2 linked regions of the Rhinolophus ferrumequinum genome follow. The protein of the gene in region 2 interacts with the protein of the main gene of each other region in a pairwise test. Links are inferred from orthologs where the notes say so. Each region holds a gene or a part of one and is shown on either strand. Other genes may lie near its edges.

Evidence for each region. The genes of interacting proteins can lie anywhere in the genome.
Region 1: the proteins of TSKS (region 2) and TSSK2 interact in binary tests that used the Homo sapiens proteins (3 or more experiments, as listed by UniProt). The link is inferred for Rhinolophus ferrumequinum from reciprocal best matches to the Homo sapiens genes TSKS and TSSK2.

Annotation. Positions count from the first base shown.
Region 1 is NC_046308.1:23,772,100-23,778,975, forward strand, and holds TSSK2 (testis-specific serine/threonine-protein kinase 2), read left to right. Parts: upstream 1-4,950; 5' UTR 4,951-5,175; coding exon 5,176-6,240; 3' UTR 6,241-6,368; downstream 6,369-6,876. Other genes in the region: TSSK1B (testis-specific serine/threonine-protein kinase 1), read left to right, coding at 1-425.
Region 2 is NC_046298.1:44,808,191-44,815,410, reverse strand, and holds the start of TSKS (testis-specific serine kinase substrate), read left to right. Parts: upstream 1-4,218; coding exon 4,219-4,388; intron 4,389-4,784; coding exon 4,785-5,010; intron 5,011-7,220. UniProt on the Homo sapiens protein: May play a role in testicular physiology, most probably in the process of spermatogenesis or spermatid development.

The DNA.
Region 1 (6,876 bases), on a different chromosome or scaffold from region 2:
TGCTGCGCATCCAGAAGGAGCACCGTGTCAACTTCCCACGCTCCAAGCACCTGACGGGCGAGTGCAAGGACCTCATCTACCGAATGCTACAGCCGGACGTCAACCGGCGGTTACACATTGATGAGATCCTCAGCCACTGCTGGGTGCAGCCTAAGGCCCGGGTCCTGTCCTCTACAGCCATCAAGGAGGGGGAGAACTCCCAGGGCACTGAGCCCTCGGATATCCCTGAGCCTGGCTCTGACAAGAAGTCTGCCACCAAGCTGGAGCCTCAAGAGGAGGCACAGCCAGAGGCAAGGTCTGAGTCACAACCCGAGGAGGAGACGCTGCAACTGCAGGTGTCCAAGCAGTTGGAGACCACAGGCGAGCAGCTGAGCAGGGAGACAGTGGAAGAGCCCCCCGCACAGCCTCCAGAGACGCAAACCTAGTAGGCCTCTCCCACGGCCCATGGGCCCAGCAGGGAATGAGGCAGAGCTCACAGCTTTGAGCCTGAGCTCCAAAAAAGCCAAGGGACAGGTCAGATAAGGAAAACAGACCCCGATGAGTCACTATTTTCGTGTTTCTTTTCCCTCCCGTTGAACTAGGCAACCCCCATTGCTAAAGAAGCAATAAATCACTATATTATTGCAAACCTGAAGGTAAATGTCTTTGACCTGGCTGACTGCAGTCGCCCAGGAGAGATTTCCCCCCTCCCCCTCAGCACTTGGGAAAATATATCTCAATGTGCCCAGCCCTGACTATGACCTGACCATGTCCTCAGGCCCTAGACCAGAGCAGAGAGCTGAGTAAGGAAGATGCTGCTTCAAGAGGGAGGCCATGAGAGCAGTGCTGGGGTGGGGAGGAGACACAGAGAAGACAGGAGGATGAAGAGGCTGCCTACAGAGGATTGGGGGGCTCCACACGGCTGCCAGTGGGGAGTGACCTGCAGAGGGCATGTGGACCAGCCTCTCAGCTTCTCTTGAGCTCCTCACCCTGGTGGGCAACTCAGCTTTTCTGCTCTGTCCACCAGGGGTTCCGCCATGTCCAGCTGGCACCTAGTTCTCAGTGGTGCTCTGAGTCATCCTGCCCTGTGGTCATTTCCTGGGCCCAGGGAACGCAGCCACACTCCAGCCTGCATGTCCCAAAGCTACTGTGTGGCCTTCACAACCCCCTATTCTCCTCTAGTCCCAGTCTGTCCCCAGGGGTGACGCTCCCTGCCAGAGTGAATAAGCTGACACTGGCGAGTAGGAGACAGGACAGGTGTTCTCACAATGCATGCCGGGCAGCTGCGGCCATCGGTGTCCCTCAGAGGGAGCATTTAGCATCACTGGCTGCCCTGCACTGTAGAGCCCTGCAAACCATTTCTCAGGCAGCCCTCACCTCAGCCGTGATGGCCTTTCTCTTCTTCCTCTGCACTCAGCTCTGATGACCTCGTATGGACCTGCAGGGTGAACACACCAAGGGGACAAGAGCCTTCAGACTCACCTCTCCCCCGCCTTCTGCCCAGGTCTTTGTCTTGGGAAGACCCCAACCGCCAGCCCCTTGGGAGAAGTGAGACCCAGTGAGTGCCCTGGACTTGCCCTCTGCAACCCTCCCCACGTCCAATCCACCACTCTGCCTGGTTCCTCCTCCCATACAGCCACCTTCACACATTCTGTCTCCATGGTCCAGTGTATCATGGCTCAGCCTCCACCGAGGCCTCCTTCCCTGCCCTCCCGTCACATCTCATAGCACCCAGTCTGGCTCCCACTGCCCCAGGAAGGGCCCCAGAGCCTGGACTTTGAGGTCCTCCCAGGTATGGCCCTCTCCTGGCTTCCCAACCCCCTCCCTCGCCTCACGTCCCACACATACATGCCATGATCATACTTGGGGACGCATTCCTGCAGCCCTTGCCCCCCTCTCCAGGCTCAGTTGAGGGGCCATGGCCTCCACAAGGCCTTCTGGGGGTCCGAACCGCACTCGGCAGCCAGCCACTGTGAGCTCTGCCAGGACAGGCCAGTGAGCGCCCAGGGTCCGGGCACAGAACAGGCCCCGAGTAACACTGGAGCGGCCACCCATTTTTTTCAGTGAAGACTGAAGGCCCCAGGAAGCCAGAATCATTCAAGTTGTTTGGTGGTGTAGCAGAATTGCAAAGTGCGTGGAGCCAGCTGAGATGGTGACGTCCTGAGGAGAGGCTCATAAACCTCCTCCCTTCGGTCATCTCTGCCACCTGCTACGGTCTTTGGGGCAGTGGGTAGTGGCCAGTGTGTGGCAAGAGGCCCTAGGAGTCTCACTGCAGCCCAGCCAGGAGGTGAGCCTGGAAGGGAGGGGGTGCAGGAAGGCACACCAATTGTATGCTTTCCAGGTAGGGAGGCAGCTCAGAGAGGGTAAACAAGTACCTGAGTCACACAGCATACAGTGGCAGCCCAGCTGACTCCCCCAGGTGACCATGTGCCAGCCACTCCTGTGAGCTGCTCAACCCACTGGGCGCAGCCCTGGATCAGACCCCTTCAGTGACCTCCCCCCCAGGACTTTAGGATCAAGGTCATCTCCATGGACGCTGTGGCCCACAGGGCTCCCTCCCACCCCACACTCTTACCATACTGTCCTTTCAGGCCACCATGTGCGCTAGCAGCTCTCCTCCTCCTGTGTGTGGCTAACTCAGCCCTCAGCCTTCCCAGCCTCCCCGCGTCTGGCCCCGTTTTGTACTCACAGCTCCGTGTTTCTTGGTGTCATGGCAGTCACCACTGGGCATTCACATTCACTGGTGTGACACTGAACCTCCCAGCCTCTGGGCTCCAGGAAAGCATGGGCCCTGTCTAGTTCATCAGTGTACCCCAGCACCTGCAACTGACCCTCAAATGCCTATGGAGTGAATGGACAAGTGGCCACCCACTTTATGGAGGAAACCAAAGCTCAGAAGGAGTGGCCTTCCCAGAGTGTGCAGGTCTCTGGCCCACAGGACTACAGGTTGGGAATCTCCTGGAGGTCCCCTGGTCCAATCTAACACCCCCGCCTTCCAATACAGAAGGAATCCCTGCCTCAGCATTCATAGGCTGAGTGACGCCACCCACCCCACATCCAGGCAGCTCCACTTGCATGACACTGCGAACTGCCTCCACCCCGTGTTCCCAAGAACCAGAGTCCACACTGTCTGGGCAAAGGCAGGACATGAGGGGGCAGAATCTAGAAAGTGGGTCAGTGGAGTCAGACATGCAGGCAGACATGGCCTCCTCAACTGAGACAAGAAGGCAGACATGCAGGGGCACCCCAGATAGAACATGGGGGCACAGGAGAAAGGGGGGTCATGCTACTGGGTCCTGACTGCAAATCATCACAGCCAGCCCCTTGTAGGATACAAAGGAGTGAAGTTCTGGTCATTTAGGCCAACAAAGAGCCCCCAGGAGAAAGGTAGGCACCAGCTAAAGCTGTTAACAATGGAAGTTCTAAGGAGCTGGGATCGGGACTCAGGGAGGCCTGGCGGCTGGAGGGCAGTTGCCTGCCTTGCTGGGGCCAGTCACTCCTGCCTGGCACCTGGACTCTGGCTGCCCTGCCCCTGCCATCTTTCACACAGACCTCCAGATACAGGGAGCTCCCCGCATGCTCTAGGTGCATCCACGTAGCCATGCTCTGGCCACACATCACATCTGCCTGGCACCTCCTGCCCCTCGTCCACCTCGTGGAGCCCTGCTGATCCTCTGTGCCCAGCGCTGTCATCCGCCCCCACCCACCCACACAGAAAAAGGCCTTCCTCTCTCCTCTGAACACCAAGCACGTGGCACACCTGTCCTGGCCACTTGCTGTGTGTGGGCACAGGATGTCTGTGATGGAGGATAAATGAACAGCAGAGCTTCCAAAGGACCTAAGGAGATGGACACAGGAGGCCATGTTTTCCAAAGCAGAACTCCACACTCGTGTCCTGAAAAAGGGTTTTCACATTGTTTCCAGGCGCAAAAGACAGTCTGAGATGAAACGATGTGCTTTCCCAGGGTTCCAACAGCCACAACACGCCACTCCTCACAAAGGCCCAAAGTGACACAATTGAGGACTCCTAAGTGCCCAGGTGCTGGCTCTTAATGGTTGAGGTTCTGGGTACTGCCAGGACCCCCACACCCAGGGCCCCACCCACGTGCTGAGCAGAGCACGACCCTCCTCTGTCCCCCTCTGCTGCCCAATCCCCACAGGCCCGCGCTGGTCTGGCCTGCTCCTGCCGAGTCAAAGGCATTGGCCTCCACTCACCCCAAAGCCCATTCTCTATGTTGCCATCTGAAAACGTGACTTGGGTCACAGATCTTCCTGCTCCGGGCCCTGCAATGCCTGCCATCACTCAGGGAAAAGCCCTCACTTATCTTCTCCCCACCACCCTCCTGACTGGGAGTCAGCCATTCTCAGACCCAGCAAGTCCTCTCCTCTCCTAGGCTCTTCCCTACCTGGATAATTCACTATCTTGTCTACTTGACTGAATCTGGCCCACCCTCCAGGCTGACCCCCAGTCCTTGGAACACACATCTGCCGGTTCAGGGCTCACAGCAGCCCCAAGCCCTGCCTGCCCTCGCCCTCCACACACGTCCAGCTGACTGCGGCAGCAGCAGCAGCAGCAGCACTCATCCACCCAGCTCTCTACCCCAAATAGGAGCTGCTCTTATCCACCGCACTTGGATCCACCGCCGGCCTGGCCAGACCAGGGTGGTCCCTCGCAAGCACCACCCGTTCTGAGGACACAAGCCCTCGACAGGGTTTCCTTCACATCCCAAAGAAGCTGCAGGAAATTGGCCCCAGTGGGACAAGGACCAATGCAGGGTCTCCACAGCCAGGAGAAGGAAACTGACATGGGGCTAGTACCCTGGCTAGACCTGGGAAGCCCCCATCCATGCCTGCCTCGTGACAGGGAAGCCACCGCAAGGAGGAGGAGCAGGGAGGGTTACCATCGTCCCGAGTGCCAGCATCCTTGCTGTGGGTGGGGAGTGGGCGTTCCTGCCAGGCCCGCCTGGCTTCTAGGGTTCCAGGGGCCCTATTCCCCCCAGCGCAGTCCCCACTCCCGGCAGCCTGGCTTTATGACTTCACGTGCTGAAGTCACTTGGAGACAATGCTGAGCGTTCCACTCCTCAAGGCCGGGCCAGCCCAGCCAGACGACTCCCCACACTGTAACTGAGGACAATGCCCGCTGGCCCATGTTGGGAGGGGATGTAGAGGGTAGCGGCGCCAGCCGCTCCTGGCACCATGGACGATGCCGCGGTCCTAAGGAAGAAGGGTTATGTCGTTGGCATCAATCTTGGCAAAGGCTCCTATGCAAAAGTCAAATCTGCCTATTCCGAGCGCCTCAAGTTCAATGTGGCGGTCAAGATCATTGATCGCAAGAAAACGCCTACGGACTTTGTGGAGAGATTCCTGCCTCGGGAGATGGACATCCTGGCAACTGTCAACCACCGCTCCATCATCAAGACCTATGAGATCTTTGAGACCTCAGACGGGCGCATCTACATTGTCATGGAGCTGGGCGTCCAGGGCGACCTCCTCGAGTTCATCAAGTGCCGCGGGGCCCTGCACGAGGATGTGGCACGCAGGATGTTCCGCCAGCTCTCCTCGGCTGTCAAATACTGCCATGACCTAGATGTCGTCCACCGAGACCTCAAGTGCGAGAACCTTCTCCTCGACAAGGATTTCAACATCAAGCTGTCCGACTTCGGATTCTCCAAGCGCTGCCTACGGGATGGCAGCGGGCGCATCATCCTCAGCAAGACCTTCTGTGGGTCGGCGGCGTACGCGGCCCCCGAGGTGCTGCAGGGCATCCCCTACCAGCCCAAGGTCTATGACATCTGGAGCCTGGGCGTGATCCTCTACATCATGGTCTGCGGCTCCATGCCCTACGATGACTCCGACATCAAGAAGATGCTGCGCATTCAGAAGGAGCACCGTGTGGACTTTCCACGCTCCAAGAACCTGACGGGCGAGTGCAAGGACCTCATCTACCGCATCCTGCAGCCAGACGTCAACCGGCGGTTACACATTGATGAGATCCTCAGCCACTCGTGGTTGCAGCCCCCCAAACCCAAAGCCATGTCTTCTGCCTCCTTCAAGAGGGAGGGTGACAGCAAGTACCGGGCCGAGTGCAAACTGGACACACGGCCAGGCTCGCGGCCCGACCACAAGCTGGGGGCCAAAATCCAGCACCGACTGCTGGTGGTGCCCGAGAACGAGGACAGGATGGAGGAAAGGCTGGCCGAGACCTCCAGGACAAAAGACCATCACGTCGCCGGAGCCGAGGTGGGGAAGGCAGGCACCTAGGGTGCTGAGGGCCGGGGGACGTGGTGCATAGTGGTGTCCCCATAAACTAAGTAAGCAGGTAGGAGCTGAAGAAGGCACAGGTGCAAGGAACAAGTAAAATCCGTCAATTAAACCACTATTTTGATTACGTTCTATTAGCTTTCTTCTACTTAGTAGCAAAGACATTAATTATTGACCAGCAAATAAACCACAAAGTGTAAACAAGCATTGAGAGCGCCCCCTGAGGAGTCTTTTTCTCTAGCACTCAGCCGACCACCCTCCCTGCGGCACGGGGGTCTCCAGCGTAGGGGTCCAGGGACCAGTGCTCAGGCACAGGTACTCATGGAGAGGCCTTGTGGGCACGGAGAACACCGCGGCCATGGCCCACCCGCTAAGCCCCACCGGTCTCCCTCTGACCTGCCCGCGCCGTGCTCCAGGGCTGGCCAGGTGCACGTCTCCCACCTCAGGTGCAGCACAGCCCACCCTGACTCCCTCAGAGCTTTTCCTCAGAATCCTCCTGCCCCTCCCCCCTCCCTTCCCCCTGAAGCACCCCCTCCATCCAAGACCTCTGATCTGCACCGTCTCTACGGCCTCCCGATTGCCCCATGCATCAGCCCTATTTTGTCACCTGTCACTCCCCAGGGCACACTTCCCACA
Region 2 (7,220 bases):
GGTAGGTATACAGTGGGAGCCACAGGTATAAATTTCTATTTATTCCAGGCATATTAAAAAAAAAGTAAAAAGAAAAGGTGAAATTAATTTTAATAATATATTGTATCTGATCCAATATACCCAAATATTACATTTCAACATATTTGGCATGCTTATTTTTCTAAGTCTTTGAAATCCAGGGTTTTTTACTTATAGTACATCTCAGTTGAGACTGGCCACATTGCAAGCCCTCAGTAGACACAGGCCATTCATAGTGGCATTGATATTGGATGGCATAGAATTATAGGACCAGATTTGAGAAAGAACATTTTGGAGCTCAGGGGTTGACCCACTGCTAAGTTTTAAGACCAGGCCACAAACAAATCCACGTTTGGTGGTCTAGATGAGGTTTGGGAAAGTCCATTTTGGTTTTAAGACACAGCAGCTCTGTCTTAAAGGAGCTCATGGATTGAACCATCAAGAGCTTCTAAGACTTTGACCTGAGCAAATCAACTCTCAACTTTCTCCAGAAAAACTGTATTCACCCCCAGTCTTCCCATTTTGACAAATGGGCCCTCCATCAATCACCCAGGCACTCTCGCTAGAATCCCTCCTGTCTGTCACCTCAAACCAAGGGCACAACATATCCCAGAGCCAGCCACCTCCTTACATCACTACTGCCCCGCCCCGTGTAGGCCACCATCACCATCATCTCTTGCCTGGAACTAGGGTTTCCAGGCAAGAATTCCCATCTATTCTCAGGAAATTTTTTTCGCTTTCCCGTTCCCGAATCCTGAGAAAAGTTGGTCAGGAAATCAGGAAAATCGGCTCCTTGAAGCCAGTAATACCCACAATGGGAAATAAACATACTACTCACAATGTATCTCTTAGACATGTTTCCTATTTATCGCTAGGGTTTCCAGGCGGGAATTCCTGCCCGTTCTCTGGAATTTTTTCGCTTTTTCCGTTCTTGAATCTCGAGAAAATTTGGTCGGGAAATCGGGAAAATCGGCTCCTTGAACCCAGGTGGTTGGTAGTATTATTGGCCGTCACTTTGTGGAAACGATTCATCGTGGAGAACAGAAAACAGTTTATATATCAGTATTCGGGAACGGGAAAGCAAAAAAAATTCCTGAAAACAGGCGGGAATTCCCGCCTGGAAACCCTACCTGAAACTTTGCAGTGACGTCCCTTGCTGCTCTCCCTGCTCCCATCTTGGCTACCCACGGTCCATTCTCCACACTCTCCCAGCTGCTCTTTATAACATCAGTCAGTGGTGTCCTTCCCCAGCTTAAACACTCAAGCCACACTGTCCTCCCTCTTGGCCATTCTGACCCTCCAGACACATCTCTACACCCCTCCTGCAGCTTTCCCCATAGCTGCCCCTTATCCTTCAGGTCTCAATTCAATGGCCCTGCTAAGGAGAGAACTTCTAGACTTAGGGATTTAAAGTAAGCTCTCCCTAGACCATATGTTCTCACTTATATGTGGAATCTAAAGAACAAAAGAAATTAACAAACAGACAAAATAAAGTAAGCCCTCCCTGATCTCCCTAATGTGTTCATTCTCAAGCACATTATCAGTGTTTTTTTTTAATTGTAATATATGATAAGGGAAGGAAACTAGACTTTGGGTGGTGATATATGATAAGGGAATATATGATAAGGGAAGGAGACTAGACTTTTGGGCTCACAATACACAGACGTCAAATTATAATGTTGGTACACCTGAATGTTATATGTTGTTATTAACGATTGTTACGCCAATACATTTAATAAAAGAAAAAAATAAATGCAAATAAAATGTTTTAAATTTTGTTATAGAAATTTTCAAATATGCCCCAAAGCAGAGGGTATAATGCACCCCCATATACCCAGCTCCCACCATGGTTAAGATAGACCTTTATTGTTTGATCCTATAACCCCCTCCATGTCACTTCCCCACACCCACGGCATTGTTTTAAACGCAAGCCCCGCTCATCATACCATGTCATCCGCATCACCCTGTTTCTTCCCCGGCATTTTATTAGGAAAATGTCTCAGTATTCAGAAAGTAAAAACAACCGCACAGTGAACACCCACATACCCCCCGCCTCAATCATGCCATTAACATTTCACTCTTTTGCACGTTTGTCCATCTGGCCTTCCCTCCCTCCATCAACTCATTCTGTGTTTTTGATTCATTCACAGTACGCTGCAGACATCAGTGCACTTCCTCCTATGGTAGGTTGAATTGTGCCCCCCAGGACCTGTGAATGTGCATTGTTTGGAAATAGGGTCTTTGCAGAAGATCAGGTTAAGAGAGGTCGTCTGGGAGGGCCCCGAGTCAATGTGGCTGTGTCCTTAAAAAGGAGGAAACTTGGAAACAGGTATAGACAGGGACAGACAGAGGACAAATATGAAGACATCGGGAGAAGATGGCCATCTGTAAGCCAAGGAATGCCTGAGGCTACCTGAAGCAAGGCGAGGGAGGCCTGCCACTGGATTCTCCTTCTCAGCCTCAGGAGGAACCAGCCCGCTAGCACTTCCATCTTGGACTTCTGGCCTCCAGACTTGAGAGACAATGCACTTCTGTGATTGAAGCCTCCACCCCCTCAGTCTGCGGTTCTTTTTTACAGCAGCCCCAGCAGACTGGTACAAACCCAAATTCTTCAATGCCTACCATTAACTAGAGTTCCATGTTTGTTTAGATTCTGTTTGTGTGTTGTTGTTTTTAACTTTTATTTATTTTTTATGTGTGTTTTTCCAGGACCCATCAGCTCCAAGTCAAGTAGCTGTTTCAATCTACTTGTGGAGGGCGCAGCTCATAGTGGCCCATGTGGGGATCGAACCGGCAACCTTGTTGTTAAGAGCACCATGCTTTAACCAACTGAGCTAGCCGGCCACCCCTAGATTCTTTTTTTTTTTTTTATTTTTTTGGGGTGACAATTGTTAGTAAAATTACATAGATTTCAGGTGTACAATTCTTCATTACATCATCTAGAAATTCCATTGTGTGTTCACCACCTGAAGTCAGTTCTCCTTCCATCACCATATATTTGATAGATTCTTTTTTTAATAGGCAAAATTCACATACAATAAAAGGCTTAGGGCCAGCCCGGTGGCTCAGGCGGTTAGAGCTCCATGCTCCTAACTCCGAAGGCTGCCGGTTTGATTCCCACATGGGCCAGTGGGCTCTCGGCCACGGGGTTGCCAGTTCAATTCCTCGAGTCCCACAGGGGATGGTGGGCTCTGCCCCCTGCAACTAAGTTTGAACACGGCACCTTGAGCTGAGCTGCCGCTGAGCTCCCAGATGGCTCAGTTGGTTGGAGCGCGTCCTCTCAACCACAAGGGTGCTGCCAGTTCGACTCCCGCAGGGGATGGTGGGCTGCGCCCCCTGCAACTGGCAACGGCAACTGGACCTGGAGCTGGGCTGCGCCCTCCACAACTAAGACTGAAAGGACAACAACTTGAAGCTGAATGGCACCCTCCACAACTAAGATTGAAAGGACAACAACTTGACTTGGGGAAAAAAAAAAGTCCTGGGGTACACACTGTTCCCCAATAAAGTCCTGCTCCCCTTCCCCAATAAAAAAAATCTAAAAAATAAAAAAATATAAGGCTTAAATCCCCAGTGCACAAATCAATGAGCTTCGACAATGCCCACATGACCATCACCCAGTTTTTATTCTCTTTATATTACCTGCCAACATCTGGTATTTTTGTGTGTTTCTGTCTATTGCCTGCCGGCCCTATCCCAGCTCCCCCAACCCCCATAGAATGTTAGAACCTCCAGGGCTGGGGCTCCACCCTCATTCACCACCATCTTCCAGATGCTGGGAAAGTGCCAAGTCCAGGGGATTGCATGAAGAATCAAGTATGAATATGGGGGGATGGGTGACCCCACAGTTAGCCTCAGGGAGAAGGAAGTTGGACCCCTCCCAAGAACCAGTGGTCCCATCCTTTGTAAGTTCTAAACTAGAATGAATAACTCCATGAGGTTCTGAAGCTGAGGGACACATCGGGGAAGAAACAGAATCCTGGAGGAGAAGGGTTCACTGAGACCACCCCCCTGACCCCTCCATGTGCTGAGCCAGCAGCACCTCCCCCACCCTCTGTACCCACCCCCCACTTAATGAGGCTCAGTGGTTGGGTCCTTTGTGAGGCAGGCTTGTGGGGACAGGAACTTTGAGGGTCAGTGGCCAGAGTAGGTGGAGCGTCTCAGAGGAAGGAGCCCCTGGGAGCAGGGCCCCCACACGCCATGGCTAGCGTGGTGGTGAAGACAATCTGGCAGTCCAAAGAGATCCATGAGGCTGGGGACCCCCCTGCGGGGGTCGACAGCCACTCCCAGCTGGTCCCTGAGGCTCCTGGGGGGGTGACCAGCCCAGCCAAGGGGAATGCGAAGAAAAAGAAGGCTGTGTCATTCCACGGGTGGGTTTGTCGCACCCTGTCAGGGACGGCCCTAATTAATGCCCAGCAGTGCCTCCAACAGAGCAGGAGTCCCACCGTGGGTGCTGGAGGAGGGGAGGGGGAGAAAAGGAGGGGACAGGGAAGGGGCAAGCAAGAGGGCAGTGGGGGAGGAGAAATAAAGAGAGGGGGAGGTATCGAGGTAGAAGGGAGCAGGGACGATGGCAGGGAGGTAAAAGTGGGGAAGGAAAAAATCAGAAGGGGGGACATTAAAAGAAGAAAGTAGGCAGCGGGGATGGAGAAGGAAGAAAGGAGGTGGTAAGGTTGGAATCAGAGTAGGGAGTTGGAGACAGGGAGGCAGGAGGCACCGTACCCCACTGAGGCTACATCCTGACCCTCCTGCCTGTCTCTCCTCCCTAGGGTGGAACCTCGGATGTCCCATGAGCCAATGCACTGGTGCCTGAACCTCAAACGGTCCTCGGCCTGTACCAATGTGTCCCTGCTCAACCTGGCCACCATGGAGCCCACTGACTCCTCGGGGACAGACTCTACCACAGACGACAGCGGCCTGCTGGCACTGCCTGTGCCACCTGCCTCACCCACCTCACCCTGGGCTCCAGATGACCCAGACATCACAGAAATACTGGTGAGGGGCACTTGGCTGGGGGGACGGTCCTCACCCTGGTGGTAGGCAAATACTGAGGAGTTGGGGGACGTGGTCATGTTGGTTCTGGTCACTCTTTAAAGCCCAGAGGAACTGCCTCCTTCTCCCCTAACAGCCAGCCATGAATCTGTTCCATCCTTGGTAAATGATGCCTGCTGCCGGGGAGTTGGTCTTTAGTTCACCCAGTCACTTCCCAATGTCTGGGGTGAGGCTGGGGTCATACGTAGGAGTCATGCTAGGTCCCTGCCCGGGAGAAGCTCCGTCTAGTGGGGGCAACAGGCACAGACAGAGGTAATAAACTCCACAATGGAGGTAACACTGGGGATCCCAGAAAAGGACCCCTCAAAGTAGACTGTGGGTATCAAGGAAGGCTTCCTGGAGGAGGCAGTGTTGGAACTGGGCTTTGATGGATGAGTAGGAGTTCTCTAAGGGGCTCAGCTAAGAATCTGGGGCAAAACTGGGAGGTGAACAAGATCTAAGGGAATTTATAGAATTTCTGACTGGGGCACTGTACCATAGCTTGGTCCTTTAACTCCCCCATCAACCTGACCCCCTCCCAGGCTTCTCCTGGGCCAGACAGACCCTGAACTGGGCTTGACATGGACACTAAGAATTACACTACCAATAACCATGGTCATAATGATGCTAATAAGATTCACTAGCATTTACTGAGCACTTTCTATGTTCTGGGAGCCTCGGTTTCTTCATCTGTAAAATGGAAATGAATGTGTTTCTAAAACGCCTATGAGGTGCCGGGCACTGGTCTAGGAGCAGAAAAATAGCAGCACACAAGACAGAGTTCTGGATATAACCGTACCCACTTCATGCGGTTGTCATGACAATGAAGTGCAGTTCATTCATGTAAAATGTTTAGCACAGTAGCCAGCTGTAAGCACAGAATAAATGTTGGTGGTTCTTATCATTATTTGCCCTCCATTTCACAGATGAAGATATCGAGGCCCCAAAAGGTTAAAGAGCATACCCAAAGTCATAAAGCTTGTATGTAGTGGAGCCAAGCTTAGGAATCAGGGGTAGGGGGTGGGGGCACCCTTCATTGATGGGGACAGTGAGGTCACTTGTGGAAGCCCTGGAAATGGAGGCCTTGGCCCAGCCGGCCAGGGTCAAGGAAGACTTTCCAGAAAAGGCAACACACAGACTGGATCCCAAAGATAAGAAAGGTATTCCCCAGGCAGAAGACAGTGAAGGGTGTTCCAGCTAGGGGTTGAAAAGAACCCGTGTAAGGGGGCTAAGTGCAAGTTTGTCCCTGTGGCTGGAGTGTGGCGTGTAAGAGAGAAGAGGCTGGAGAGGGGCAGGGTACAGGCCACACAGGCTGAGAAACGTCGTGTTCTTCTGAGGGCAATGTGGAGCCATGGAGGGTCCATGGACAGGGGAGAGAGAGGAGTGACTTGGGGTATTGACCCCCTTCCCATTTACTGAGCACCTAGTATGTGCCAGGCACTGTGCCATGTCACTATAGTGGGGATCTAACATTTTCCTCTCTTAGAAGTTCTGTAAGGGAAGTGGTGTCATTACCAGTTTAAAGATGAAAACAAAAATAATTGAGGTCTAGAGAGGTGGAGTGACATCTGCAAGTTCAGAGAGCTTGTAAGAAGCAGGGCCAGGACTGGTGGGATTGACACTAAAGAAAAAGCCCTTTCCTTCCCAGGAAGACTCCTCTGGGGCTGGGTGGGAGACGTGTGAAGAGCAGAGAGAGGCAGGGAGGCCTAAGAGAAGGCTGGGCAAGGGTCCAGATGGAGAGAAGGGAACAGGGCAGAGAGAGTTGGCAGGATGGATGGCCCAGGAGACATCCCCTCCCCCAGCCAGAGCAGTTTCCTCGCTGTTTGAGACCATCACTCACGCCGCACTTGCAGAGGTCTGCCTCCCATGAGCTATTTCTGAGTCACATCCCCCCCCACACCCCCCCCGTGGATTGTGACGTCTGAGAAAGAGCCCTGGGTAGCTGGGATCAAGGCCTGATGCCACCACCAGCTCACTGTGGGGCTGCAGGGGAGTATCAATCTCTATGGGGCTTCAGGTTCCTTCTCTGTGAAAGAAATAATGATGGCCAACACCTCAAGGTATGTGCAGGAGCAGTGAGAAAGTGGACAGTAAGAACATACAGGCACTCAGCACCTGAGCTACACCAGGAGAGAAAGCTGGAACAGGCAGAGAGGAGGGGGCAGAAACCCAGA